Linked DNA regions of Callithrix jacchus. The protein of the gene in region 2 interacts with the protein of the main gene of each other region in a biochemical or structural test. Links are inferred from orthologs where the notes say so. Each region holds a gene or a part of one and is shown on either strand. Other genes may lie near its edges. The genes, in order: TRIM24, ESR1, ARNT, SAFB, NRIP1, FLII and PHB2.

The links.
Region 1: the proteins of ESR1 (region 2) and TRIM24 form a complex in vitro, tested with the Homo sapiens proteins (4 studies listed by BioGRID). The link is inferred for Callithrix jacchus from reciprocal best matches to the Homo sapiens genes ESR1 and TRIM24.
Region 3: the proteins of ESR1 (region 2) and ARNT form a complex in vitro, tested with the Homo sapiens proteins (2 studies listed by BioGRID). The link is inferred for Callithrix jacchus from reciprocal best matches to the Homo sapiens genes ESR1 and ARNT.
Region 4: the proteins of ESR1 (region 2) and SAFB form a complex in vitro, tested with the Homo sapiens proteins (2 studies listed by BioGRID). The link is inferred for Callithrix jacchus from reciprocal best matches to the Homo sapiens genes ESR1 and SAFB.
Region 5: the proteins of ESR1 (region 2) and NRIP1 form a complex in vitro, tested with the Homo sapiens proteins (4 studies listed by BioGRID, with this or other methods). The link is inferred for Callithrix jacchus from reciprocal best matches to the Homo sapiens genes ESR1 and NRIP1.
Region 6: the proteins of ESR1 (region 2) and FLII form a complex in vitro, tested with the Homo sapiens proteins (2 studies listed by BioGRID). The link is inferred for Callithrix jacchus from reciprocal best matches to the Homo sapiens genes ESR1 and FLII.
Region 7: the proteins of ESR1 (region 2) and PHB2 form a complex in vitro, tested with the Homo sapiens proteins (3 studies listed by BioGRID). The link is inferred for Callithrix jacchus from reciprocal best matches to the Homo sapiens genes ESR1 and PHB2.

Annotation. Positions count from the first base shown.
Region 1 is NC_133512.1:108,786,538-108,790,037, reverse strand, and holds part of TRIM24 (transcription intermediary factor 1-alpha), read left to right. Parts: intron 1-417; coding exon 418-686; intron 687-3,500. UniProt on the Homo sapiens protein: Transcriptional coactivator that interacts with numerous nuclear receptors and coactivators and modulates the transcription of target genes.
Region 2 is NC_133505.1:158,537,427-158,541,475, forward strand, and holds the start of ESR1 (estrogen receptor), read left to right. Parts: upstream 1-1,249; 5' UTR 1,250-1,382; intron 1,383-4,049.
Region 3 is NC_133519.1:10,774,372-10,778,412, forward strand, and holds the start of ARNT (aryl hydrocarbon receptor nuclear translocator), read right to left. Parts: upstream 2,801-4,041; 5' UTR 2,666-2,800; coding exon 2,641-2,665; intron 2,477-2,640; exon of another isoform or gene 2,373-2,476; intron 1-2,372. UniProt on the Homo sapiens protein: Required for activity of the AHR. Upon ligand binding, AHR translocates into the nucleus, where it heterodimerizes with ARNT and induces transcription by binding to xenobiotic response elements (XRE).
Region 4 is NC_133523.1:5,347,249-5,350,748, reverse strand, and holds part of SAFB (scaffold attachment factor B1), read right to left. Parts: coding exon 2,994-3,500; intron 2,570-2,993; coding exon 2,520-2,569; intron 1,818-2,519; coding exon 1,723-1,817; intron 15-1,722; coding exon 1-14. UniProt on the Homo sapiens protein: Binds to scaffold/matrix attachment region (S/MAR) DNA and forms a molecular assembly point to allow the formation of a 'transcriptosomal' complex (consisting of SR proteins and RNA polymerase II) coupling transcription and RNA processing.
Region 5 is NC_133522.1:21,972,342-21,975,841, forward strand, and holds part of NRIP1 (nuclear receptor-interacting protein 1), read right to left. Parts: intron 2,121-3,500; 5' UTR 1,794-2,120; coding exon 1-1,793. UniProt on the Homo sapiens protein: Modulates transcriptional activation by steroid receptors such as NR3C1, NR3C2 and ESR1. Also modulates transcriptional repression by nuclear hormone receptors.
Region 6 is NC_133506.1:82,688,214-82,692,409, reverse strand, and holds the start of FLII (protein flightless-1 homolog), read left to right. Parts: upstream 1-1,396; 5' UTR 1,397-1,429; coding exon 1,430-1,492; exon of another isoform or gene 1,493-1,745; intron 1,746-2,674; exon of another isoform or gene 2,675-2,746; coding exon of another isoform or gene 2,747-2,794; intron 2,795-3,097; coding exon 3,098-3,208; intron 3,209-3,521; coding exon 3,522-3,593; intron 3,594-4,196. UniProt on the Homo sapiens protein: Is a regulator of actin polymerization, required for proper myofibril organization and regulation of the length of sarcomeric thin filaments. It also plays a role in the assembly of cardiomyocyte cell adhesion complexes.
Region 7 is NC_133510.1:21,236,024-21,240,168, reverse strand, and holds the start of PHB2 (prohibitin-2), read left to right. Parts: upstream 1-1,345; 5' UTR 1,346-1,470; coding exon 1,471-1,597; intron 1,598-1,699; exon of another isoform or gene 1,700-1,742; coding exon 1,743-1,827; exon of another isoform or gene 1,828-1,835; intron 1,836-2,444; coding exon 2,445-2,524; intron 2,525-3,167; coding exon 3,168-3,352; intron 3,353-3,909; coding exon 3,910-4,039; intron 4,040-4,145. Other genes in the region: EMG1 (ribosomal RNA small subunit methyltransferase NEP1), read right to left, coding at 923-1,090.

The DNA.
Region 1 (3,500 bases), on a different chromosome or scaffold from region 2:
CTGCCATACAGTGAGACTGAAATTTTTTTCATATATTTTAACCTAACAATATATTATGATAGTGCAGAAACAGATAATGAGATTTCAGCTATTAAGCCAGACAAAGAGATTTTTTCAAATATCAAACAATGACACTGTTTACCAAATTTTTTATAATAGAGTTTTATAAAAACATGTTATGGTTTTATTATTTTTAAATGAATTAATAATTTTAAAAATTATTTTTATTTCTAATATAAATTTTAGTGATTAGAATTTAAATGAACAAAAGCTGTTTGGGGATATATATTTCAGAGTGTAAAAGGGCTCATGAGACCAGAGAATTCCTTGACAATTCTGCAAAAATAGCCTTACAAAATGTGATATTTCACCACCTATCTGAAAAACTTTTTCCCTTAACCTTTTCTTTTTAATCAGGTTCTTTAGTAATCGAGGATAAAGAGAGCCAGCCACAAATGCCTAAGCAGAATCCTGTCGTGGAACAGAATTCACAGCCACCAAGTGGTTTATCATCAAACCAGTTATCCAAGTTTCCAACACAGATCAGCCTAGCTCAATTACGGCTCCAGCATATGCAGCAACAGGTAATGGCTCAGAGGCAACAGGTGCAACGGAGGCCAGCACCTGTGGGTTTACCAAACCCTAGAATGCAGGGGCCCATCCAGCAACCTTCCATCTCTCATCAGGTAAATTTGGAAGCAGGCCTGTCCTCACTTAGATAATTATAGTATAATTGTGCTGAGCAGCTCAAAATAATAAAGACATCCATTTTCCATCATCTAAATATCTGCATTTATAAAAATTTATCACAATAAGGATCCCTGACTTAATGCCTAGTTTTTATCCCTACTTAAAAAGAATTAAATGATTTAGCTGATAAATCTATTTTCATCTACCTACGCTTCATCGTCTTCAAATTAAAGCAGAGGATAAATGTTTATATTCCTAAATAACCCAAGCCCTGTGATTGATGGGAAAAGCTGTGTACCTGTAATTCCTATATTAGTGCTTCAGAATGATGACTACATTAAGAATCTGTCCTCTGTGAGGATGCAGTGTTTAGAAAACCACATTACATCTTAGAAACTAGGGCAGAATGAAATAGAAAAGGGAAAAAGTGTGGTTAATTATAATCTACCTTTTTCAAACTTTATTTCTGAGCAAATATACTATTTACCATTTTAATTTTTACTGCGATATTTTTTTGTAGTGGGGAGAGGGGCAAAGTCTGACTCTGTCACTCAGGTGGGAGTGCAGTGGCACGATCTCAGCTCACTACAACTTCTGCCTCCCGGGTTGAAGCAATTCTCATGCCTTAGCCTCCTCTGAGTAGCTGGGATTACAGGTGTGCACCACCATGCCTGGCTAATTTTTATATTTGTAGTATGTTGGTCAGGCTGGTCTCAAACTCCTGACCTTAAGTGACTAGCCCGTCTCAGCCTCCCAAAGTGCTGGGATTACAAGGATGAACCACTGTGCCTGGCCTCAGTCCAGTTTTTGAAGATAAAATGTATATATATATTTTTTTTGTTTGTTTTTAAAAGACAGGGTTTCATCATGTTGACCAGGCTGGTCTTGAATTCCTGACCTCAGGTGATCCGCCCGACTTGGCCTCCAAAAGTGCTGAGATTACAGGCGTGAGCCACTGCACCCTGCCCTTTTTTTGTTTCGTTTTGTTTTATTTTGTTAGTTTAACTCAGGTTACATGTGGGCAGACTTAGATTTAATACAAGTTTAGTAAGGAATTTAAAGTCTAATTTATAAAATTTGTGTGTTGTTTCAGTTACATCATTTATTTATATACTCTTTTTTTTTTTTTTTTTTTTTTTTCCTTTTGAGGTGGAGTTTTGCTCTTGCTGCCCAGGCTGGAGTGCAGTGATGCCATCTCGGCTCACCACAGCCTCTGCCTCCCAGGTTCAAGCGATTCTCCTGCCTCAGCCTCCTGAGTAGCTGGGATTACAGGCATGTGCCACACCCAGCTAATTTTGTATTTTTCGTGGACGGGGTTTCTCCACATTGGTCAGGCTGGTCTTGAACTCCCAACCTCAGGTGATCTGCCCGCCTCAGCCTCCCAAAGTGCTGGGATTACAGGCATGAGCCACCATGCCCGGCTGTGTATATTCTTTTTCTGCAAAGAATTTGAAGTGATTTACAGTATAGGATACAAATGAAATTAAGCAGAGTTTACTAAAAGAGTCAAAGTATGCAGACATAGGCTAAGAATTCTCATACTGAAAAAGACAACTCAGCTCAGAACGTCCTGCCAACCAAAGCAAAAAGGAAACAAGAATAATAAAATGAAAACATACCAATTAATTAGGGAGAGAAAGTTTTAATAGTATTTTGCTAGCACTAAGAGGAATGGTTCTTTATGAAAAAGCAATTAAATGGCATAATGCAATTTTTTTGGTAGAAATTTAAAAAAATAGAAATGGTCTTTCTTTATATGGGACTCATACTTTAATCCTCAGTAAAAGTTGTGGGCATTTGTAGATCCAGAATGTGTTACATGGTGTATGTAAAGGTCTGAGGTAATGTATTTGAGGTTTATAATGATTTGACTAATAATCCTAATAATTGGACTAAGAAGGTATGTAAAATCCAAGGGAATATTAGCATGGCTGTTTAAAACTTCGTTTCAAGCCATAGTCTTAAAAAAATTAAGTAGCAAGCAATGTAAAAGATCTTTGAGTGTTCCATGGGAAGATAATTTTATACTTTATATACTAGGAGTATATCTAGCAGAGTAGAAATTTTGTTAAGAAAATTGAAGGCAGAATGACATATTTTAGATAGACTGCAAAGATGCCTAAAATTTTTCTGAAGCTAGATAATGGAAATGAGAAAATATTAGAATGCCCAGTGCTAAGCACTTGCAAGTATTAATATTTACCTTCTAAATATTTAGTAGTTGATTGATAAAAGGAATGAACCCATCATTTGAATTCATTGCCTTTTCACTAAGAAGTCAAGATCCGGCTGGGCACGGTGGCTCATGCCTATAATCCCAGGACTTTGGGAGACTTGAGGTTGAGGATCACTTGGCTCCAGGAGTTGGAGACCAGCCTAGGCAACATAGGGAGACCCCTCCCCCCATCCCCATCTCAGAAAAAATTAGCTAGGTGAGGTGGTAGCACATGCTTGTAGTTCCAGCTATCTTGTAGGACTGAGATAAGAGGGATTGCTTGAGCCTGGCAGGTCAAGGCTGCAGTGAACCATGATCCAGCCCAGTGAGAGAGCAAAACGCTGTCTTAAAAAAATTAACTGAGGCAGTTAGTAGACATTATATGAAAATAGTTATATAAGCAGTGACAAAAGGAAGTGACTTGAGCCTTTAGCCTGATTTTCTCAGAAATTTTCTTTTGATCTTATTTCAGTCTCTATAATTTAGTGCTATCATCTGTACAGTCTCTATTATATAACCTAATTTTCACATTTAGAACAAAGTACTCTTCGCATACTGCAGTTTTTATATCACATACTATTCTTTTTCTGTTGGT
Region 2 (4,049 bases):
ATAATCTACCTTTCACTAGGTATCATAATAAAAACAATAAAAATGCTTACAGAACCCCTGCAATGCGTTAGTATACGTGATTATTCCTTGTGTAAGTGAATCTTGTTGAGATTTTATGTTCAGTCACTTGAAATTAAATACTTTACATACTAACTAAAATGTGTCCTGCTCTCTGTATTCTGGAGAAGCTTCTCTCAGGCAAATTAACATATTCAAATTATTTTATGGGCTAACTGACAAGTATAGAGAAGATTGAAGACAGTTAAGATCATTTATTTCAAAATGTTTTAAAGCATTGATTATTTCTTTTGGTTTTCCTTCCTTCCCATGACAGTTTTGAGGTGTAGCTTACTTGGCAGACGTCACTCTGTACTGGGTACTGGGACAGAGAGCAATACAATAGCAAGAGAGAGATTCCTCCTCTGCCCCCTCTATCATTCTCACTTCCAGAAAACCAGCCTTTTTCAAGACTTGTAAAGAAGAAAAAGCGAAAATATTTTTAAAAAATCATTGAAAGTACATACTGCATAAACCACAGCAGACATGATGAGATATTAAAATTTCAATGTTATTAAAAAATTTTAATATGATTTTACAGCCCTTTTTCTACTTTAAAATGTGTATCTTAGTGTTAAACAAACAATCAATAACCACATAAATTTAAAAATTGCTGCAGGAAATACCGGACAGTTTATGGAAGGATCATGCGACAGAAATTAAGGACCAAAGAGCGTAAGGAGCTAGACCTGTGCAGGTTACCGAAGTCAAGAACCTAATTAATCAGTAACAGGAAGTGCAGAGCCGGCTTTTGAGTCCATGCCTGAGTAAGAAATTCCCAAATAACACTAACAGAAGACATTTCCTTACCCCTGCTTTTAGTTTAGCTCTAGCTAACTTTGGATTAACAAAATTTATGTGCTGAATGAATGTTTTATTTTTTTTTCCAGCCCCACACGCCTGTCTAGACTTTGAGCTTTATTAGGAATAAAGAGAAAAATCGGCTGGAGGGCGTAAAAAAATTTCAGGCAGATTAACACATGATTTACCTCTTTTTGAACATCCATTTTAGTGGAAGTGCTAAGAAAGTTAGATTCAAGCCGGGCTTGGAGAAAGCAAGGCCACCCCCTCCTCTATGTTTTCAATGAGATTTTCCAATCCTAGTCAAATGGTGGTGCTAGTTCTTTATTTTTGAGTTACTGCATTTCCTAATTTCATGGTCATAACAGCCTCCTGTCTACCGAGTCAGAACGGATTTTACCAAAACTGAAAATGCAGGCTCCATGCTCAGAAGCTCTTTAACAGGCTCGAAAGGTCCATGCTCCTTTCTCCTGCCCATTCTATAGCATAAGAAGACAGTCTCTGAGTGATAATCTTCTCTTCAAGTAGGTACTCCTATTTCTTCTCAATTTATTTTTTCCTTTTTGATATAATGTGCTACTGTTTACAAGCATATTGTAACTTCAGAGCTTACGTCTCATCTTTAAAAAATGTTCATTTTTTTCCTCTTTCTGCTCCAAGGATATTTTGCAAACTTACTGGCAAGTATTCCTAGGATGATAAAATGTGAAATCTAAACTTGGTACAGTGGAAATTCACTTCTAGAATAATATTTAGCTGAGGCAGAGGGCAATCCGACTACCCTGTTCTTAGTACAGCACACACAGGCTGCCTGTCTGCTCCAGATAACATATATCTATCGGATCCAGCACTAGCTAGGAGACACCGTGTTGTTGAGCTGTGTTAGAATTTTAAAAGTTCTTAATTAGAGAAATCTCAGACTAGCAGGAACACATTACCTGTTTTCTTAATCTTTGGAGCCATAACTTATATGAGTTTGAACTAAAAGATGTGAATGATCCATTATTTGTTTCCTAAAGGCAGTCAAGTTTTCTGAAAAGCTACACGTCCAGCAGCACAAGAATGAACGATTCTGTCTTGAAATTGGCCTCTGATTTTAAGCAAGTTCTTTTGAGTCCTGGTGTCCCATTTTCTCGGTTCCTTTTTGCCTCTCAAAGGCACACGCATAATGACTTCACCACATATAGCAGTGGGCTACTCGGGTAATGATGTGGCAGTCACAAGACAGGGCAGAATACTTTCATTTTGGTCAGAGGCATGCCACATGTCTTAGGAAATGCTCGTTGAACTGTAAGTTTCATGCTTTGTCAAGAAGATAACCAGTATTCTCTCAAGTCCATAGGAGCCGACGTGATTAAAACATTTTAAAGCAATTTACTTGATAGAAGGGTTGGGCTTTATCAGGACTTGTGATCATGGCAATGGTTCCTGCTTAAAGGTGCCAGATTTTTAACGCCTTTATGTGTCAGATCTAATAGGCTTACAGAGCAACTCTATGTATATGAGGCTGCTGGGAAACTCATCCAGTTTTGAATGTGGTATATACATATTTTAATGTTGAGAGTAAACTTAGGAAGACCAGGCAGAAGTGTTTGAACTGAATTCTGAAATGTACAGAGAATTTAAATTGGGTGAGAATGTTTGAGGTCCACGGTTCAGGGTTCATTTCGATACCATAAAATCCCCTCCTAGTTCTTAAAAGCAAATGTTTTCTTTGATTTTGTTAATGTCCTGTGAAGACCGCCGACTGGGCTGTGAAATGCATGCAGATAATGCCGTAGCGGTTGGATAAAATAATCTAGAATGTTAGATTTTCAAGGAAATTAGAAATAAAAACAATGTAGGTAAAAGGCATGATGTAGGAAAACAGCAGAATTTTCATTAAGAACACAAGGGTCGTATTTACAAGCAGAAGATTTTTCTTGGACACTTGGAGATATTTGTTTTGTTTTATTGCTCATGACAGTCAAGGAAAGGAATACAATGTTTGGGTCTTAAACTTGCAGCAAGAAAAGTCAAACTATCTTTTGTTTCTGAGAACTCTTGTCTTTGTTCAGTATTGGGTTTAGAGCTAGCTACCACCCACCTTCCCTTCAAACACTCACTCTAAACCTCCACACAGCATAACGATGTACATCAGGTGTCTGCCAAACAAGTTCACATGGTTGTCTGCAGGTCTTCTCTTAGTCTAGCTGCACTCATTTATCCTAGTTGGTCAGAACAGTTGCTTGAGTTGAGGGCCTGGTGGTTGAGTTTACTTTGCTTTGAATAGGGAACAGCTCTGCTTCATGACTCCAGATTGGCTATTTGGAAAAAAGGGCAAGGAAAAGAGTGACCCAGCTCTCAGTAGACCATCCACACTGCTGGTAAAAAATAAAATAAACAAAATAAAATAAACAAAATAAACTCATAGCATAGGATTCATCTATGGCAGTGGCGACATGGTCCTGTCCATCTGCCTCTATCAGGATAGAGTCTCCATTGTTGATCTCTGAGAAAGAGGTGCTATCTGTGAAGCCTCCTGCATATTATCAAATAAAGTGCTCTTTTCAAAGGCAGGCACTGTACAGGTAAGACTGATGATGTGTGCCTGCCTTCTGGGCAACATCTCATTAGACTTCCTCTGAATCATTCCCACTGGACACAACAGCAAAAACATGCACATCAGTGAGTTTTATGGTTCTATCTAAGGCATATAACATTTTTCTCACTGAAAGTCTGTGATTGTTTCAGAGAATGAAGGGGCTTACCCTACTCACCTGCCCCTTAAAATATTCTGCTAGAAAGCTGATACCTCTGCTCAGGTTTTCCACAGCACATCACTCTTCGGTGAGAATTCTATTAAGTGGTTCAATTCAAATCCATGGAAAAATGACTGAGTACCCAGTCATAGCTCCCACCACTCTCTAGCTGTGCAATTAGAGGCAGATTATGTCACCTCCATCATTAAATTTCTCATCTGCAAAGTTGGAGTACTAACAGTAGCTACCAGAGAGAATTATATGGAGTAAATGAGATTAAACCACTCATTAAACTCCTTGCAGTCTCTAAACATTAGAAACTCAATATGAGGAAGTTATTTCTACTCTAAGCCTATCACAGTGCCTGTTATTCAATACATGTTGGTTGAATAAATGAAATAATTCAAGATCAGCACCAAAGCTGCTAGGAGTTTATGAACATCTGATCAT
Region 3 (4,041 bases), on a different chromosome or scaffold from region 2:
AAACTCATGATGTCCCTGGTCCTTAAAACGGCTCTAAGGAAATAAGGTATGACAATGTAGCAAAGAATTCTGACCTGAAAACCATTTACTTTCTTTTCACTGAGCACAGTACATTTCCACATAATGTCCCTCCATTCATTAATCTCATTTCCCAAAATGCAACAGACTGCTGAAAAAATCCACAATGTAGGCTGGGCATGAGGGCTCACACCTGTAATCCCAGCACTTTGGAAGGCTGAGGCAGGTGGATCATGAGGTCGAGTTCAAGACCATCCTGGATAACAGGGTGAAACCCCATCTCTATTTAAAAAAAAAAAAAAAAAAATCCACAATGTATCTATGATCTCTTCCTCTTGATATAAAAGTACAAAGGGAGAAAAAAAAAAGAAAATACATCTTTTGATTTGTTTGAACTGAACATGGGATCAATAAGTTAGAAGAGACAGAATTTTTCAACATCAAAAAAGAAATCTGGCCAGGCAAAGTGTCTCACATCTGTATTCCCAACTTTGACATACTGAGACAAGTCTTGCTTGAGACCAGGAGATCAAGAACAGCCTGGGCAACATAGTAAGACATCTGTCTCTACAAAAAAAATTTAAAAATTAAGTGGGCATAGTGGCAAGGCACCTGCAGTGCCAGCTATTCAGGTGAGAGGTTAAGGACTGAGGTGAGAGGATCACTTGAGCCCCAGAGGTGGAGGCTACCATGAGCAGTGATCTTGCCACTGCACTCTCGCCTGCGTGACAGAACAAGGAGCAAGACCCTGTGTCAAAAAGAATAGAGGAGAAAAGAAAAAAGAAAGGATCTAAAAATTGCAGAAGCAAGGCAGCCAAAGCACAGTAAGAGAAAAAAAAAAACTGTTTCATTAACAAGGATTCTGTGTGCTCTTGACACACACACACACACACACACACACACACACACTCTCTCTCTCTCTCTCTCTCTCTCTCTCTCTCTTTCTGCTGAGATTTAAGCTGATATTGATCAGCTTACGAAAATACGGTCAAGAGGCTGTCATTCTGGTTGCTGGTGTTTAAAAAACAAAACAAAATATAGCAACCCCACCCACACAGCTGGAAAAAAGCTTCTGACATAAGAACTAAAACTTGTTTACCCGGGCCACTTTTTAATGAGAAATGCTTTGCAATTTAACTAGGATTATATAAGTATTTTGCAATGTGTGATCAGTTAAAAATCTTGTTTATTTACTCCATAGTTCACGGATAGGTTATTTTACTACAAGGTCAGGTTTGCCGTTAACGGTATTTTTCCTGTTTTACAGTTTTATTCCATCACTCAGCACTTCCTGCAATGTAATTTTTGCCATTAATTTTACCTCCCTTTCCTTTAAAAAAAAATGTAAAGATTTTTAAAAGATGACATGTAACAAATTAACCATTTCTTAAAACAGCTGTTCCCAGAAACATGGTGAAAAAGAAATTTCAGTGATTCAACTGTCCTATCAAAATTTGGGTATCACAAAATAATACCACCTTTCAGTAACATGAAAAACAAATCTAACTTAAATTTCAACGTGGGGATGGGGGAATCACTCCCACTGTTGTATTTTCAAGAAATTCTCTGCCCACCCCCCAACCCCACAACAGACACACACACACACACACACACACACACCCCTCAAGGCTTTTTTTTTTTTTTTAAGGCTATCAAATATACTGGTTTCTGGGAAAGGATAGACTTTATTTTGCAAAAATGACCAAGGTCAGCGAGATGAACTAGGCCCCTAAAATGAAATACCTTCTAAGGAGAAATAACTGTAACATAGAGGAAAGAGGGCTGGGACTAGTAATTTGAAGATCTCATCTCTCTAGACCTACACTAAAGCCTACTCCATCTCTTAGACAAGAAAGGTGAGATCTTTTTGATATTTGGTTATTATTTGAAACTGAGAAACGGTGTGGAATCAAACTTTTCTGAAAGAGTTTGGAGATTGCATCGACCCGGGCCTAACAAGATTTAAACCTGGGGCCGTGGACCAAAGACCTGTCCGGAACCACAACCATTATACAAACCCCTGCCCTCAGCAGGCAAAGACACTACAGGCCTTCTTAAAACAAGACCTAAGTTTCAAAGCATAGTCCGGGGTTGCGGGTGGGAGGTAACAGCCTAAAGAAACGTCGTATATATCAAATAATGTCCATTTTTAATTTTTTTAATTAAATTCTAAACCTTTAAATGTTTGGAAGCAACACCTCAACTAAAGAGCAATATGGTCCAGCTAGCCCTAAATCCAAACTATCCTTAAAGCAAACCGAGCCGCTCTGCCTACAGTTTTCGGCATCAAGCGGCTCCAGCGAGCAGAGGGTTAAGAGAGGACCACATCACAGACCAGACGCCGCCCGAGAAGCGAGGGGGGGCCAGCCCCGCACCGGCCGCAGCTCCAGCGGAGCTCAGGACAGGGAGCCCCCAACTCCCTCGCTCCCTCCACCTCGAGTCTACCCAAGTACTCAGGGTCAGGCCCCTCCCCGGGTCACCGCTCCCCCACTGTCCCCTCGCGGCCCTGCCCCGCCCCGGCGCCTTCAGCTCCAGCTCCGTCCCCTCAGTCCTGGGTCTCCTCAGTTGTCAGCCCCTTCAGCCCCTCCCCTTTAGAGGCGCCCCAGTCCTCCGTCTCCTCACCGGGGTTGGCAGTAGTCGCCGCCATGGCCGTGGATGCCACCGCCGCCGCGCCACCCCCCCCAGTGGGAGGAGCCACCGCCACCGAACCGGGAGGGAGGGGGAGAGAAAGGCCACTCCCCAGAAGCGGCGCCTAACCGCTGCCTCCGCTACCGCGGAATCCAAGATGGCGGCTTCAGCAACCCCCACCATCCCAGCCTCTGTAGCGGAGAGACCCCGCCTGTACGGTGGGCGGAGTCAACACACGGCCAGCCTCCTAGGAAAAAACTGACCACTGAAAATGCCAAATCGACTAAGGGCAGGGCTAGTCACTGCGCCAGCCAGTCCACGGGAGGGAGGGCGAGGAAGAAGTCCAGCTGTCTTCCTAACCCCGCCCTCCTTGCGTAAGAGGTCAATGACCAAGTGATGTCATTGAAATACAATTAAAACGGGTATTTTAGGCCCGGTGAGGTGGCTCGCGCCTGTAATCCCAGTACTTTGGGAGGCCGAGGCTGGTGGATCATCTAAGGTCAGGGGTTCGAAACCAGCCTGGCCAATATGACGAAACCCCGTTTCTATTAAAAATACAAAATTGGCGCATGCCTGTAATCCCAGCTATTTGGGAGGCTGAGGCAGAAGAAAAGCTTGAACCTGGGAGGCGGAGGTTGCAATGAGCCAAGTTTGTGCCTCAGCATTCCAGCCTGGGCAACAAGAGTGAAACTCCGTTTCAAAAAAAAAAAAAATAGGTATTTTACTAAAAACCTTCGCTTGCTGGTGGATTCGTCTGAGTGGTTGCCCTGCAAACAATTTATCTTGTAAATCCCCTGTAGGTGCTCTAATACTTAAACTTCATATGGTGATTTGTAATCCTTTCCAGTTTTTTCCCCCTTTTAAAGACTTTTGTCCTTGGTGAAAAAAGTTAAATGACTTATTTTTTTTTTTGAAACAGAGTCTCACTCTGTCGCCAGGCGCCAGGTTGGAGTGCAGTGGCGCGATCTCGGCTCGCCGCAACCTCCGCCTCCCGGGTTCAAGCAATTCTCCTGCCTCAGCCTCCCCAGTAACTGGGACTACAGGCCCGCGACACCACTCCCAGCTAATTTTTGTATTTTTAGTGGATACGGGGTTTTGCCATGTTGGCCAGGATGGTTTCGATATCTTGACCTCGTGATCCGCCCGCCTCGGTCTCCCAAAGTGCTGGGATTACAGGCGTGAGCCACCGTGCCCGGCAGTGACTAATTTTTGAATGCCTGCTATGGAATTTGTAATATAAAAGGATCCGGGTGTTAACGGTTTGGTATGGGAGATAGCAACAGCAAAAACTGGAGGCAATGGATGAAGAAAGTATTTGCAGAGTGGCTAACTTCCTTTGGTCAGTGATAGGGACACAATGAGGAGTTTTTTTGTTTCCTTTTTGTTTTTTGAGGC
Region 4 (3,500 bases), on a different chromosome or scaffold from region 2:
TTGGCGCCTACCACCTCAAAGGAAAGCGGGCAAATATGGCTCAGACCCTGAACGGGGCATGGCAATATGAAAAGCCCACAGGAAAGCCTCCTCACTGGGGGTCCCACAGTGTTAGACTGGGGAGACTAATGCTACTAATGCCGCTGTTTCGCTGTTACTCCTCCAAGGACCTCTGGCCAATTCTAATTGCTCATCTAGTTCCTCAAGGGGACTAGGAGGGCAGTGTAGGGGAACAGAGGAAAGAGAAATGAAACAGGGTTCTGCCAGTGTTCCTTTAATATGGTCTAAAACTCGTGAGGAAATGATTCCAAATATAAAGTTATGCTACGTAGACGGTAAATTACGAAGTGATGCAACATGGGAAAAAAAAAAAAAAAAAAAGAGAAAAAGACTTCACCACAGACAGAGTGACACAAAGACAGGTCTGCAGGCCATGCGCTGAACTCAGACCCGTCCTATCAGTGACCTCCCAGGTTTAAAGTGGCAGTCTTTCCACGCCACTTGGTTCTCTCAACTCCAGCAGGCTGCACTTAGGCTTGCCCTTTGATAGCAGAAGACGCCACAGCTCAGGAGAAGCCCCGAAGGAGCCAGTGGCCGTAGGTGGTATTCACACTCATCGTGCCACATGGAATCCCAGCCCCAGAGGACATTCTCAGAGGGGTCTGATCCTTTACTTAACCCACATCAGGCCAGCAATGTACCCAAGACACTGCAGTCTCTAGGGCAACACTTCCCACTGAGCACCCACCTGCCAAGGGCCACCGTGGAGTCAGGAAAGGAGCTCTAGCGGGGGAAATGTGGCGCAGGCATTGCCGGCCACACGCCTTGGATCACTGAGGCCCACGGAGCTCTTAGTTATGTCCGTAATAATGACATACTTAGTTTGATCCTCTTTTAAGTTCTTCAAAGTCAGTAATTGGGGAAAACACTTGGTTTTCTATACTGCAACGTGTTGAATGAAGCCTCACTGTGCAAAACAAAGGACTGGACTCCTTCCTTTGACTGTCCCGAAACTGAATGTGAGAGAGATGAGGAGCCCTGGATGCAGGAGGCTATCTGGGAGGCAATTCTGGGAAGCATTGAGGGGAGGGGAGGGAGAAAGCACAGGGAGGGCCAGGCGGCCGCGCTGGGCACTGGGAGTGCGGAGCTGGTACCATCAGCTCCACCTTCATGGGTTTGAGAAAGGCAGGTGTTGCAGACAAGAGGCGGCTAGAACTGCCTCCGGAGGTGAACTGAGGCAGCAACTTTGAGAGCCCCCAGCTGCTGAGGTGAGGTTCAGTCAATGGACGCCAACACCCCCATGGTCAGGGACCCCCCCCATCAGACTCTAGGGTCCTTGTTCTTGAATTCTGAGTTACAGCACCACAAACACTGTCCTAAGAACAGCACTGCCTCTCAGCCATGCCAACTAGCATCCCCACCTGCCTATCCTGGCTGCCCAGCCTGAGTATGATGTCCTAAGGACAGAGAAACGGATCCACAAGCCATCACAGGGAAGGGGGCAAGCGTGCAGAGAAGGGGAGAAATACAGCAGAGATGTGGGCTCTGGAAGCTTCCACACCACTCTCACCTCTAGCCATGGAGGGGCAGACCCTCTCCAGCCATTAGCAAGCGTAAGCTCCTGGTACCTTCCTAAGAACTCACTGAGGGGAGGAGGATCTGCATGTAAAGGCCACAACACTGGTCTCAAAGCATCTTCTCCAGAAAAGCTCTGGCACTTACCTTCCCATATTTGCTGAAAAGATTCTTCAAATCTGTAGCTCTGGTTGTAGAAGAGAGTCCACTAACCCAGAAATTTCTACCACAACTGCTGCGACCTATTTCAAAAGAAAGTTCTAGTCAAAAGCCAAAAACCCACAAGATCTCAAGACTTAGACACAACCTTTCCAAACCTGACATGGTTTCCACTTTTCCCAAGGCAGTGACAGCACTAAAAACCAAATGGGGCCGTCGGCCTGACCACTGTCCTCACCAAGACCCTCCAGTTGCGACACCAGGCCCAGCAGCACTGCCACAGGGCCCATCACAATACTGAATTGGGCTGTTGGGACCATGTGAGGTTTCCTAAGAAAGTCAGCAATCGCTTAATTACAGGAGGAACTACTGTGGCCACGTAGCAAAACAGCCAACCTCAATGTCGACAACGCATCCCATTTCTCTGTCTCCATCGATGGCTTTGTATCTATCCCACGTTTTAGCTCCTTTAGAACACTGATCAAGAAGGAATTTGGTAGGGTAAAATCATTTCTCAGTTAATGGCTTTAATGAAAGGTTACAGGATGAATGTGCTCCCAACACACTCTGAAAGAAGGGTCTGCACGAATCAACCTATTAATTCTTAGGATCTGGCTTGCCTCCTATAACCCAGAACCTGTAGAGTTAACAGCAGAGAAGGAGGATGCACAAGTCTCAGGAGTCTCTTGGGTAAGGACCGCGGTGTGCGATGAACCAGAATCAAACACCTGCCACTGTCTAGGCCATATATGCTCCAAGGGACTGGTGTCACCAGGGTGACCTACCTTTTTCCTCTTTGGAAAGCCTTTTTGTATCCGAGTCATCTTCCGGAGAACTAGAGACAAAAGACAATGTCATTCTGCAAGGAAGCAGCATGGCAGAAACAAACTCAAAACCATAAAATTCGTGCTGAGGTTGCATACCTACCCGAAATTTAGTTCTGAAAAAATGAAACCCCGACAAACTTGTATTGCAAATCTGACCTAACCATAAGATTTCAGACCCACAGGAGTTAATTAATTCTGCTGGGCTAAAGGTAATTAGGAGGAATTAAAGAACACAACCATGATAGGTTGAGAAAAGAAAAAAGATTATGTAATCAGTGTAAAATACACAAAGAGAAATAAAACATTCTTTAGAAGCAAATCTACAATTTCGTCAGTCTGGCTGGCCAATTGCAGAAAAAACAGCTTATGTGTGTCATTAAATGACCAATGAAAAGGAGATAGCGTCTGGTCTAAAACTGAGAAAAAACAAACCTCATTTTCTGATCAGCGCCCTCACTGGTTGAGGACTCTTTAGGAGCCGGAGGAACTTCATTACAAGCTTCAAAATCAAACTTCCTCCCGTCTTCTTTGCTATCTCTGGCTTCTGGGCTTGGGGCTTCCGTGGGCGCTTCCGCGAGCTCCTCGCTAGAGGCCTCCGCGAGCTCGGAGGCCGCACTACTCTGCTCAACTGCTGGCTCTAGCCCTACGGGTTCACAGTCCGTCCTCTCGCCATCGCCTGGCTGCTCCACGGGCTCCCTTTTCACTACCGCTAACAGGCTGTCTGCCTTGCTCGACTGAGCGTGTGCTGTTGACTCGCTGGCCAAATCTAAATCACCCTCTTCCGGATGGGCGCTGTCAAATAGGTCCTCTTCCTCCGCAAGCTTTCTGTCTGGCCCCACGCTACTTGTGTCCTGTGCAAATGGCTGCTCCAGCTCGGAACTTTCTTCTTTTACTGGCTCAGATTTACAAGTTTCCCCCAAAATGTCGAGTATTTTCTCA
Region 5 (3,500 bases), on a different chromosome or scaffold from region 2:
TGGTTAGATGTAGTATTTGTTAGCTTTTCAGATGGAGTATTGCAGGCATATGGTGGGGAATTCCATTTAATAACCAGAGAGTGTTGAGAGAGATTGATGGGAGACTCCGCTTTGGTTGATGTAAGTAATGGTGGAGTGCTCACTGGAGTAGTCCGATTTGTACTGGGGCTTTCTATCACAGAAGTCCTTGAATAATTCTGTGTATTGAACTTGGTTACCTCATTGTGTACTCCCTGAGGGCTGGCGTTTTTTTCTACATTTTCTTCATTCTTATGGCCAAGTAGCAATTGAAGAAGTGTTACTTTCTGGTGTGAGTTTAGCTTAGAATTCTTTGAGGTATCTTGATCTTCTTTAATATCTACATCTGGGACTTTTGGATCCCAAGTGTTCAGCAAGGATTGAGTAAAGTTATCCAAAGAAACAGGTTGGTCAGATTCTGATTTTTCAACTCGGTGTTTGCAAGACAAGTCTATGGGAACGCAGTTGGAGTAAGAACTTTCATCACCACTGCTGTCATCTGTAAAACTAGGATTGTTATCTGAATATTCATCAATAGTTGTAGGAGTACTACTTTCCTCAAAAATGCTTCCTCTCTCACTGTGACTATGTCCATTCACTGGCTTAGGTATAGTCTGGCTTTTAAGAAGATGTAAAAGCAAACTATTGTTAGGAGCTTGTTTTACATTGTTTCTTTCTAGTGAGTTCTTATAACCTGCATTTTTAGGGGAAGAAGGAATGATACCCATTGGATTTTGAAATGTTGCAGCATTACTTTTGCTAGCCATCAGTTTGCTTGATGATGTTCTTGCCTGACCATTAAGATGGCTTGACATTCCTTTTGAGAGCTGGAAATTGCCAACATCCTTCTGGCCATTTTCTTGCAATCTGGCCATAGCAGCAAGTCTTTCACTTGCAGCTTGATTTGCATTTTGTGTTTTTAAAGCATGTTCTCGAGAATACTGCTGCAAATGGGCTTCACTTGAAAGAAGTAATGCCAGTTGGCTACAAGCAACACTAGGTTTAGGTGAGGTGGCAGGACTAGCCCTTTTTTCCACCATGCTTGCAACAGCCTGTAATCTTGCAGCACATGACAATGGTTCACTCATGACCTTTGTTCCACTTTGTCCAACATGATGAGGAGACTCGGCAAACCTATCTCTGATTAGGTTTTTAGTCACGTCAGGAAGATTCGTGTCAGTCTTTTGATCTTTAACTTTACTTTTCTTCAACAAAGTTTTTAAGTGACTTGATGCAACACCATAGCACCTTAAATCCTTCTCCACTTTTAAAGAATCATGACTGAGGGCATATCCTTGCTCCTTGAGGCTCTGCCTAATTTGTTGTGACAGAGCAACAGTCTGCAGCCTAGAGCTGAATGACTGAAGCAAAGAGGCCAGTAATGTGCTATCCTGTTTGCCTTTAGGCACATTGTCAACCATGCCAGCCAGCAAAGCTTCCTTCTTTACGTTTAAATTTACGATAGAATCAGACAGCCTCTTCCGCTTTGCTGCATTCCAGTCCTCGGAAGACTGCAACAGTCTGGCTTTTTTGAGATGCAGCATGCCAGATCCCTGATATGTGTGTGTATTGAGAACTGGACAATTACTTTGACAGGTGGGAAATGCACTGCCAGAAATGTTAAAGTTCTGATCCTCTTCATTATGCCCAGCAGACTTTTTGTCAATGGCAGTACCTGATCCCCCTGCTGCCTGATGCATTAGTAATCCTTCTAGGTAAGTTAAAACAATAGAATCCTGGTGCACATCAGAGCCAAGCTCTTCTCCATGAGTCATGTTCAATAGAAGTGTTCACAAGGGCTTGGTTTCTATTCACTTTGAAGAATGGTTTTCTGCGGTGAGATGTAACTTTAATAACTGAGTATCAGTTTATCACCTTCCATAGCACTGAGAGAGAGACATACTCTTACATTCTGATGAGGATTTCTTTTGGCAATGACAAGATAAATGCAGTCTGACCACAGAGCTGATGAACTTCTAAGCAAAAAGGAGGATAATTCCTTAAAACATAGGTCTGTAGCAGTAAGCAGATATAATCCTTAGTGAATATATTCTTTTTCCTTCTTCATCTTTTATTCCCCATTAAATGCAAATATCAGTGTTCTAAAAAAAATAAAAATAAGAATAGTTAAGGAGGTGCAGAACTAGAATCATGTCATGATACCTACAAGCAAAATAATATGGCATTTGTAAGTTTATATATACATATCATTAGTCACCTTAGTAATTTGTTTTATTGCCATTCTATTCAAATGAAAATCTCTACTAGAAATCCTGTGGGTTAATCTATACTGTTAAAATGATCAAATCATTTAGAGAAGAGAGCATTCTTTAATGTTATATAAACGTCTTCCAAAGCCTGCCAAGTCTCTGAATTTTCATAAGCACCTTTCTGCAAATTAATGTGAATGTTAAGTCTCCTTTACAGGTTTATAGCTCTATAGGGGAGCTAAAAGTTGCTTCCTACATTACTGGTCACTTAGGAAGAAACAAAAGTAGATGTGCAGAAAAAGAAAAAGAGATGCAGACTCCGATGAGTCTGATGTGGGGTTGAGGCCAACAGAACAGATTCACTTCAGACATCATCCCCCAAACACCAGATATCCCATAAGTGATTTTTAGAATTTCTGTTTTTCAAAAAAAATCAAAGTACTAACAAGTTGAAGATTATTTTGTGAGCCTGTTCAAAGTGTGACAATCTTAATGATATTCCTAAACATTAAAATACAGTCATAAACTTACCTACCCATAGTTTTTACCATGACTTATTAAAGATGGAGTAGAATAATTCTTTAGATGCCCTTTAGATGCTTGTTCAGGGCTATCAAGGATTTCATATAGTTTGTTATTTAATCCTTACTCATGTGTTCTATGGAAAAGTCTTAATGTCACGTCCATTCCTTACAGATACAGAAGACAGGGAGGGCATAAAATGGAAAATGCCAAAGACATTTTAGTCACAGTTTGAAAAATATTCCAATGATATTATCTAAGAAGATACTGAACAATCCCCTATCACTAACACATATACAACAGAAGAAGCAAGAACTCATTACATTTCTGAAAACTTGATAGAGAAGTGTCAAAATTGACCTAAGGAAGGGGGCCATTACACCTTTGGAAGAAAAGCTGGAATAAATTCCATGAAGATTGTTTTTCAAGAAGCCAGAACATTTTGTTCTGGTTATTAGATCTCTTCAGTTCTACCAACAAATACCTTGGTCCCTATGGAATTGAAAAGATAAATTCTAATTTAGAGACTACCCTGTAGCTTTTTGGGTAAAATGCTAACCTCTAAGTCAAACTTTAGGAAAGAATTATCTGATTGCATCAAATTGTTAAATTGATTGAAATGATAAAAACAATACCCAAAGAAAAAGCTATAGAAAGGAGGCAGCAACAATTAAATAAATTTCAATTGTATAAAGAGGTGAGAAAAGAGTTTCTTAAGATCCCAATGCCACTATTTTAAAAAGATTTGCC
Region 6 (4,196 bases), on a different chromosome or scaffold from region 2:
AGGGTATGCCCCGCCCCCCAGCCAACTGACACGCTCCCTCGGGGCGGGACTCTCTGACGCAGTCTGGATTTAAAGGTGCAGGGCTGCATTCGGAGCCCGCGACCGGGTATTGTGACAGGCAGCCTTCTTAGACGCCTGTGCGTTGTAATGTGAGCGCCGAGTGTGAAGGAAGCTGTCTGGGCCCCCTTTACTTCCGGGGGCCGAGGCACATCTAACCTCTTAGATCACCTCTGCGAGTGTGTCTTGGTGGCTTCATTCTTAACCTGTGGGCCTGCGGGGCACACAGTGTGGTGAAAGCGCCTACCCCTGCCACCTGTTCCGTGCGACCTTGTGTGGGCCGTTCTCCACATGGGCCTCAGTTTTTCTCCTGTAAAATGGGGACACCAGACCCCCTCCTCCCCTGCGAATGGTGGCTAGTCATATAACAGCTGTGGCTCATGTTTTAGGGGCCTGCTATGTGTCAGCCAGGGTAAGCCCCTGCGAACAGCAGGGACCAAGACGGATGCTTCTCTTCTAGACCCTCCCTTTGGGGGACACGAGCGTAAGGGTGCTGACACAAAGTGGGAATAATAACCTGGCACACAGAATAAAACAAAACAAAACGGAGTAATAACCTGTCACTCACTGAGCGCCTGCTGTATGCTGCGAGCTACACTTGCATTCTTTGTTCATTTGCTTATGGCGACAAACTTAGGAAGCATTTTACAAATGAGGAAACTGGGCCGGGCACAGTGGCTCACACCTGTCATCCCAGCAGTCTGAGAGACTGAGACGGGAGGATCACTTGAGGCCAGGCGTTCAAGACCAGCCTGGGCAACATAGTAAGACCCCCATGTCTACCAAAAATAAAAATAAATTTAGCCAGGTGTGGTGGTGTTCTCCCAGCTAGTTGAGAGGCTGAGCCCAGGGGTTCCAGGCTGTAATGAGCTATGATCACGCCACTGCACTCCAGCCTGGGCGGCAGGGCAAGACCCTGTGTCAACAAAATAAAAACAACGCATGAGGAAACTACATCCAGAGCAGGAGAACTAGGACCCGAGGACCCAGGTGTCTCACTACCACCGGTCAGCCAAGTGCAAGCACTTGAGGTCAGGGCCAGCTTCGTCTGCTACAGCAGCACAGGGGACCATGCCTGGACCAGCGGCCTTGAAGGCCCCTGCCCTGGGACTCTGGGAATTTAAGCCTGGAGATTGCGGAAGCCTCCAGCTCCAGCACAGGGGGCGCCGGGGCAACTTGATGGGTCTGCAGCCCCCGAAAAGACGGAGAAACTGAGGCCCTAAGAGGCCTAAAGCCTACACTTCCCGGCGGAATGTGGCGGGCGCGGGCGGGTTAAAGGGGCGGGGCCGGCGTTGGCCCAGCCCGCGGCTCCCCTCACCCCTCGCCCGGGCGTCCCCCTAGCCCGGCCCGGCCAGGCAGCGAGTGCGGCGCCATGGAGGCCACCGGGGTGCTGCCGTTCGTGCGCGGTGTGGACCTCAGCGGCAACGACTTCAAGGTAAGCCGGGACGGGCGCGGGACGGGCCTCCCTGCAAGCCTTCTCTTCCGCCCAGCCAGCCTGGCTCTCGCTTCCTGTCCCGCCCGGCTCCGGGTCCTGCGCGTACCCGGGACTGCGGCCGGGGCGGGGTGGGTCTCTTCCCTGGTCACGAATGGACCTCCGAGGACTCTTCCCGGTGCCTGTACCGGGAGACCGAGGCTCGATAGGCCCAGGACGGACGCTTGGGCTCGGAGTCTCGCCGGGGACCTGGCCGGTAGCCCCAACCCCACGTTCGTGTTCCCCGCCTGGGCTGGACGGTGGCCTAGGGGTCGGCGAGGCTCCCCGCCCTTCTGGGGTCACACGCTCAAGCCAGGCCCTGGCTCAGGGATGGCAGCCCGGCTGCCCAGGGGCGGGTGTGGAACCGACTCATCACTGCCCTCTCTTCGTCACCGCCACCCGCCATCCTGTGTGATCCTGATCAGATCACTTCCCCTCTCAGAGCCCGGGCTTTCTCAGCCGGTGAAGGGGCTTCAGAGTCGCCTTCTTGGACGCAAGGGGTGTAATGAGATTTATTGGTGTGGAGAGTGTCAGGCCGGCGTGCCAGGTGCTGGGTGGCAGTTGTCTGAGCAGCTACTGGACTGAGAAAGACAAGGCACGGCAGCTCAGCCCTCCGCAGCCAGTGGGGAGAGAGGTGGTTCCAGGGCTCCGAATGAAGCGGGCAATGCCCAACCGAAGGGGAAGCAGAGAAAGAGGGGAGGGGAGAGCTGGCTGGAGGGTCAGCCTCACCTTCAGGGTGGGTGACCGGCAGGGTCTGGCTGAGGTGTCGGTCTGGGGCTGGGGCCAAGGAGGCAGGTTTTTCCTGAGTTTACCTGCTTGTGTACACACCTTTGACCCCGAGTACAGGTGGCCACACCACTTTTCCCTGTCCCCATCCCCACCACCCTTACCTGGGGTCTCTGTTCCTCTTCATTGTGCGGGGAGAGTCTGAGTCACCAGCTGGGAATGTGGCCCTGGGGGGAAAGGAACACCAGCCGAGGGCACGGGAAGGCACGTGCTGCCCCAGACTTGGTGCCACAGCGCTGGAGATGCCAAAGTGGGTGTTCACAAGGGTGGGGGGGAGTGCAGTGATGTGGGGTGGGGGGCCATGGTCTCCCTAAGCAAGGTTTTCGCCCTGACCATGAATTGCCTGTGTGCTGATGGTAGGGTGAGGACACAGGTGGGGCCTTCGCAAAGGCTTGAAGCAGGGAGCATCCACCCCAGGCAGCCAGTCAGAGCATGGAATGCTGGCTGGAGGAATTTGAGCGGAGCTGCCCACAAAGCCAGGTGCTGGGCTCTCACCTGAAACAAGCCAGTTTTGTCCTGGTCCTCCTGGGGCCCAGAGTCCAGTAGCAGAGACAGATCTTAGGCCAATACTTTTGTCACAGTGAAAGGGAGGCTTTTATTAGTCCCATTCTATGGGTGAAGAAATTGAGGCACAGTGATGAAATGACCTGTCTGTGTTCTCTCAGCTGGTGGGAGTTGGTTCTGTTAGTCCCCAGAGGCTCCTGTGGGCAGTGGGAGCCAGAGAAGGTGGTGAGCAGGGGCTCTGTATCCCAGGCCAGCTTCACCATCACATCCTTCCCCCAGGGTGGCTACTTCCCTGAGAATGTCAAGGCCATGACCAGCCTGCGATGGCTGAAGCTGAACCGCACTGGCCTCTGCTACCTGCCTGAGGAGCTGGCCGCCCTGCAGAAGCTGGTAAGGGGCTTTGGGCAGGCAGGGAGGGTCCCTATGGATGAGCCAGATGGGCAGAGCTTGTGGAGAAGGGAGACAAATTCTCCAGAGAGAGGAAGAACACTGACAGCTATGAGCAAAGCCGGCAGAAAGAGAGTGGACACCCTGTCCAGGAACGTATGCAAAAAGAGGACAGGTCTGTGAGGGAGGGAGGCTGCAGGGGGAATTGGGCCTGTGTGGCTGAGGCCTTCCTGGATGGTGCAGAGTTGTGGAGGTAGGTGGGGACTCTGGACACCCCACGCACCCTGCTGAGCCTGTGCTTCCCATCCTGGCCCAGGAACACTTGTCTGTGAGCCACAACAACCTGACCACGCTTCATGGGGAGCTGTCCAGCCTGCCGTCACTGCGCGTGAGTGCTGGCCAGGAGGCCACTGGGCTTGGGGTAGAGGCAAGTGTCCAGCCAGGGATGTGAAGCCTGGGCCAGACACCAGGCTGGGCCAGCATCTCTGCCCACTTCCATGTGGCAGGTGTTACAAGAGGTGTCATTTGTTAGAGGTTACAGCAGTGCCCTGTGTAAAGTAACCCATGTGGGTCAGAGAATTAGACTGGGAATAAGGTAAAGAAATCCAAAATCTTGACACCTGGGCTTGGTGGCTCACGCCTGTAATTCCAGCACTTTGGGAGACAGGCAGGTGGATCACTTGAGGCCAGGAGTTTGAGACCATCCTGTACATCACAGTAAAACCCCGTCTGTACTAAAAATACAAAAATTAGCCTGGCATGGTGGTACGTGCCTGTAATCCCAGCTACTCAGGAGGCTGAGGCAGGAGAATTGCTTGAACCTGGGAGGCAGAGGTTGCAGTGAGCCAAGATTGTGCCACTGCACTCCAGCCTGGGCAACAGAGCGAGACTCCATCTCAAAAAAAAAAAAAAAAAAAAGAAATCCAAAATCTTACCACCCGTTACGAACAGTAACTACAATAATAATAACCAATACAGGCTGAACCATGTT
Region 7 (4,145 bases), on a different chromosome or scaffold from region 2:
ATGCAGGCAGATCACTTAAGGTCAGGAGTTCAAGACCAGCCTGGGCAACATGGTGAAACCCCGTCTACTAAAAATACAAAAACTAGCTGCGCATGGTGGCACACACCTGTAGTCTCAGCTACTTGGGAGGCTGAGGTAGAAGGATGGCTTGAGCCCAGGAGATGGAGGAGACTGCACGACTGCACTCCAGCCTGGGTGACAGAGCAAGACCCTGCCTCAAAAAAAAAAAAAATACCCGCACTCTGGGAGGCCGAGGCGGACAGATCACGAGATCAGCTCCCAAGTAGCTGAGACTACAGGTGTGTGCCACCATGCCCAGCTAGTTTTTGTATTTTTAGTAGACGGGGTTTCACCATGTTGCCCAGGCTGGTCTTGAACTCCTGACCTTAAGTGATCTGCCTGCGTCAGCCTCCTAAAGTGCTGGTATTACAGGTGTGAGTCACCATGTCCCACCCTCATGCCAATCTTAAAACTGGGAGTAACCCCTCTTCATTTTACTTTACTTTTTTATTAAATTGCCTCTTGCATCATTAGAGACCAGAGTGGCCAACATAGTGAAACCACGTCTCTACTAAAAACACAAAAAAGTTAGCCTGGTGTGATGGTGGTGTGCGCCTATACTCTCAGCTACTCAGGAGGTTAAGGCAGGAGAATCGCTTGAACCGGGAAGGTGGAGGTTGCAGTTAGCCGAGATCGCGCCACTGCACTCCAGCCTAGGCGACAGAGCGAGACTCCGTCTCGAAAAAAAAATGAGTACTACCATCCCAGGATATCAAATCAACAGACAGACAGCCAAGCCACCTTTCTCCAAAAACATTTTTCACCCCTTTCTGCTTTCTCTATCCACTCCGAGCCCCTCACCCTCATTCCACGGAGTCCCAACTTGCGATTTACCAGTTCTCCACTTCCTTTCCTAAACTACCTTGACTGTCTCCAGACTGGCCCCTTCCAGCACCACAATAAGCCTACGGCCTCCGATCTTGTTTCCTGCCCCGACTCGGGGCCGCTTGGGGGCCACAGCATCCCAGTCCTCCAACTGCTCCCCACAGCTTCGCTCACGAGGCTTGAATCCACCACTGGGCGCGGCCATCTTGCAACCAGACCGGAAGTTGCGCTAACGCTCTTAAAGGAGAACCCCGCGGCTTTTAATCACAAATTTCCTTCCGGCTGCCATTTTGAAAGTGGGCTTGGAAATGGCGATGACTTACTGTCTTGCGCTGCCCTCCCTGAGAGGGCAGCCTTCCAGAAAGGGGCGGGACTTCCGGATACGCGATTCCTGTGCGCGAAGTTCGGGTCCGTAGAGGGCTCAGGGGGAGGGTTTCGAAGGGAGCGCACTTCCGGTGCCCTTTCTTTCCCCAGCATTAAGGGTCCGAACCCTCGTGTGAAGGGTGCAGTACCTAAGCTGGAGTCGGGTAGAGGAGGGCCGGCACCCCCTTCTCACTTCTGGTGCCGCCAGCCTCAAGATTAGACATGGCCCAGAACTTGAAGGACTTGGCGGGACGGCTGCCCGCCGGGCCCCGGGGCATGGGCACCGCGCTGAAGCTGCTGCTGGGGGCTGGCGCCGTGGCCTATGGTGTCCGGGAATCCGTGTTCACCGGTGAGCAACCTTCGCCCGCTCGCCGGACCCTTCCAGTCCCTCCCGCAAACCCCTTGCCGTGTTTTACCCGGTCCCCGCGCCCCACCGGAGTCTAGCACTTACTCTGAGCAGCGGCCTGGCCTGATCACCACCCCTCTCCCCACAGTGGAAGGCGGGCACAGAGCAATCTTCTTCAATCGGATCGGTGGAGTGCAGCAGGACACTATCCTGGCCGAGGGCCTTCACTTCAGGTAATGGCGGCCAGAGCCAACTGACCCTGACCTTTCACCCTTGACGCCGACCCAGCAGTGGCTGTAGTCGGACGTGCAACAGGATTCAGCGCTGCTCTTTTCCCTCCTCATCCCCACTCCCAGGACAGTGGGTGCTGCGCGAACCTCCAGCAGTACATAAACTGTTGCTTTCCAGACGGACAAGAGAATCTCTCCTTGTCTGTGGTCATGGGGAGGAGCAGGCCAAAAAACACGTGGTGAGGGGAAACCAGGCAAAGCTAGTGAAACTGCGGTCTCTCTTTTTTTTCTCTCCCCGCCCCCCTCTTGAGAGGGAGTAGGGAGTCTTGCTCCATCGCCCAGGCTGGAGTGCAGTGGTGCGATCTCTGCTCACTGCAACCTCCGCCCCCTGGGTTCAAGTGATTCTCCTGCCTCAGCCTCACGAGTAGGTGGGATTACAGGTGCCCACCACCACACCCGGCTAATTTTTGTATTTTAGTAGAGACGGGGTTTCACTATGTAGGTCAAGTTGGTCTCGAACTTCTGACCTCAAATGATCTGCCGGCCTCAGCCTCCTAAAATATTGGGATTGTAGGCGTGAGCCACTGCAGCCTCTTAATACGTATCCCTGTCCCCTCCAGGATCCCCTGGTTCCAGTACCCCATTATCTATGACATTCGGGCCAGACCTCGAAAAATCTCCTCCCCTACAGGCTCCAAAGGTAGGTCTGAGCACTTGGTAATCCCATGGCAGGTAGGATAATCAAAGAATTGTATCTGCTGTTACATGCACTAGTACACTCTGTTCTGGAGAAGTTCGTCTCCATTCTTGACTAGGTCACCTGTTCTTCTAGACCATACATAGAAGCTGTGCTTTGAGTTCCCCAGACCTCTTCCTCCTACACACACACACACACACACACTCACACACTGAGTTAGGTAGCTCACCAGTAATCTGTAATGTACTTCTTTGTACTATACCTAGTACGGGTCACTTATTCATTTACTTGACTGGGCACTGGGAATAAAGGATTCATAGAACACACTCTTGTCCCCAAATCCTTACAGGAAACATGATTATGGTACAGCATAAAAGCACCCACTTTAGCAGTTGCACAGAGTACAGAGGGGAAAAGAGGGGTCAGCTCTGCTAGTGACAGGGTTGCAGTTCAATTCACAGTAGGTGAAGATGCATTTCACCTGTGCTGTGTCACGTCTTCCTTGTCAGCCTGATTAACTCTCCTCCCCCTAGGGTAGTGCCATGCTGTACATCATTGCTCAGGGCATAGAGGGAGGCACATGAAGGACAAAGTGCTTGGGAAAGGGTGTTTGGCCTTGAACAGCCACTGCTGACCTCAATCTCAGACCTGCAGATGGTGAATATCTCCCTGCGAGTGCTGTCTCGACCCAATGCTCAGGAGCTTCCTAGCATGTACCAGCGCCTAGGGCTAGACTACGAGGAACGAGTGTTGCCGTCCATTGTCAACGAGGTGCTCAAGAGTGTGGTGGCCAAGTTCAATGCCTCACAGCTGATCACCCAGCGCGCCCAGGTCTGACTTCCACCACCGTCTGCATGGTGTCAGCCTTTCCCTCCTAGGTCCGGGGTATTGGGAACTAGGAAAGGCAGCTTATTAGAAAAGGATTGTCACCCTACTGCCATTTCCACCTAAAAGCTGTGCTAATTGCCCCTGTGAAATAAGGAGAGCCAGTGTTAGAACTCGATAGCACTTGGCGTTAGGAAGCATGGAGGGAAATGTCCCAGTCTTGGCTTTTCCTGCACCTCTTTCAGCAGATAGGCATATGTTACAGGTTTGCCCAACAGGAAGCTAATGCAATTCGTATTGTATTGGGGAGAGTGAAGGATTAGGGGTCACTGTGAGCTGGAGCGGTCCTGTCATCTCTCTAAGGTGTCTCATCTGTCACATGAAAAGATTGAATCAAGTCCCTTCCAACTCAGATATTGTGGTGAGGCACTGAGGAAGGGTTGATGATTTTTCTGCCATTCTCAGGAGATCTGTTGTTAAGATGGTCACACAACACAACTTTCCTTTCAGTTCTCCAGTCCCCTCAAACCACCCTGCCCTTTCCCTCCTCACCCCCCACCCAGGTATCCCTGTTGATCCGCCGGGAACTGACAGAGAGGGCCAAGGACTTCAGCCTCATCCTGGATGATGTAGCCATCACAGAGCTGAGCTTTAGCCGAGAGTACACAGCTGCTGTAGAAGCCAAACAAGTGGGTGAGTCGCAAGAGCAGTGGGGCGAGGGCTTCCGAGGTGCAGGAGGAGGAAAGACTCCATGAAGGGGCTCCTGACCCAGGACCGGGTCTACCTGACTCTCTCCCAC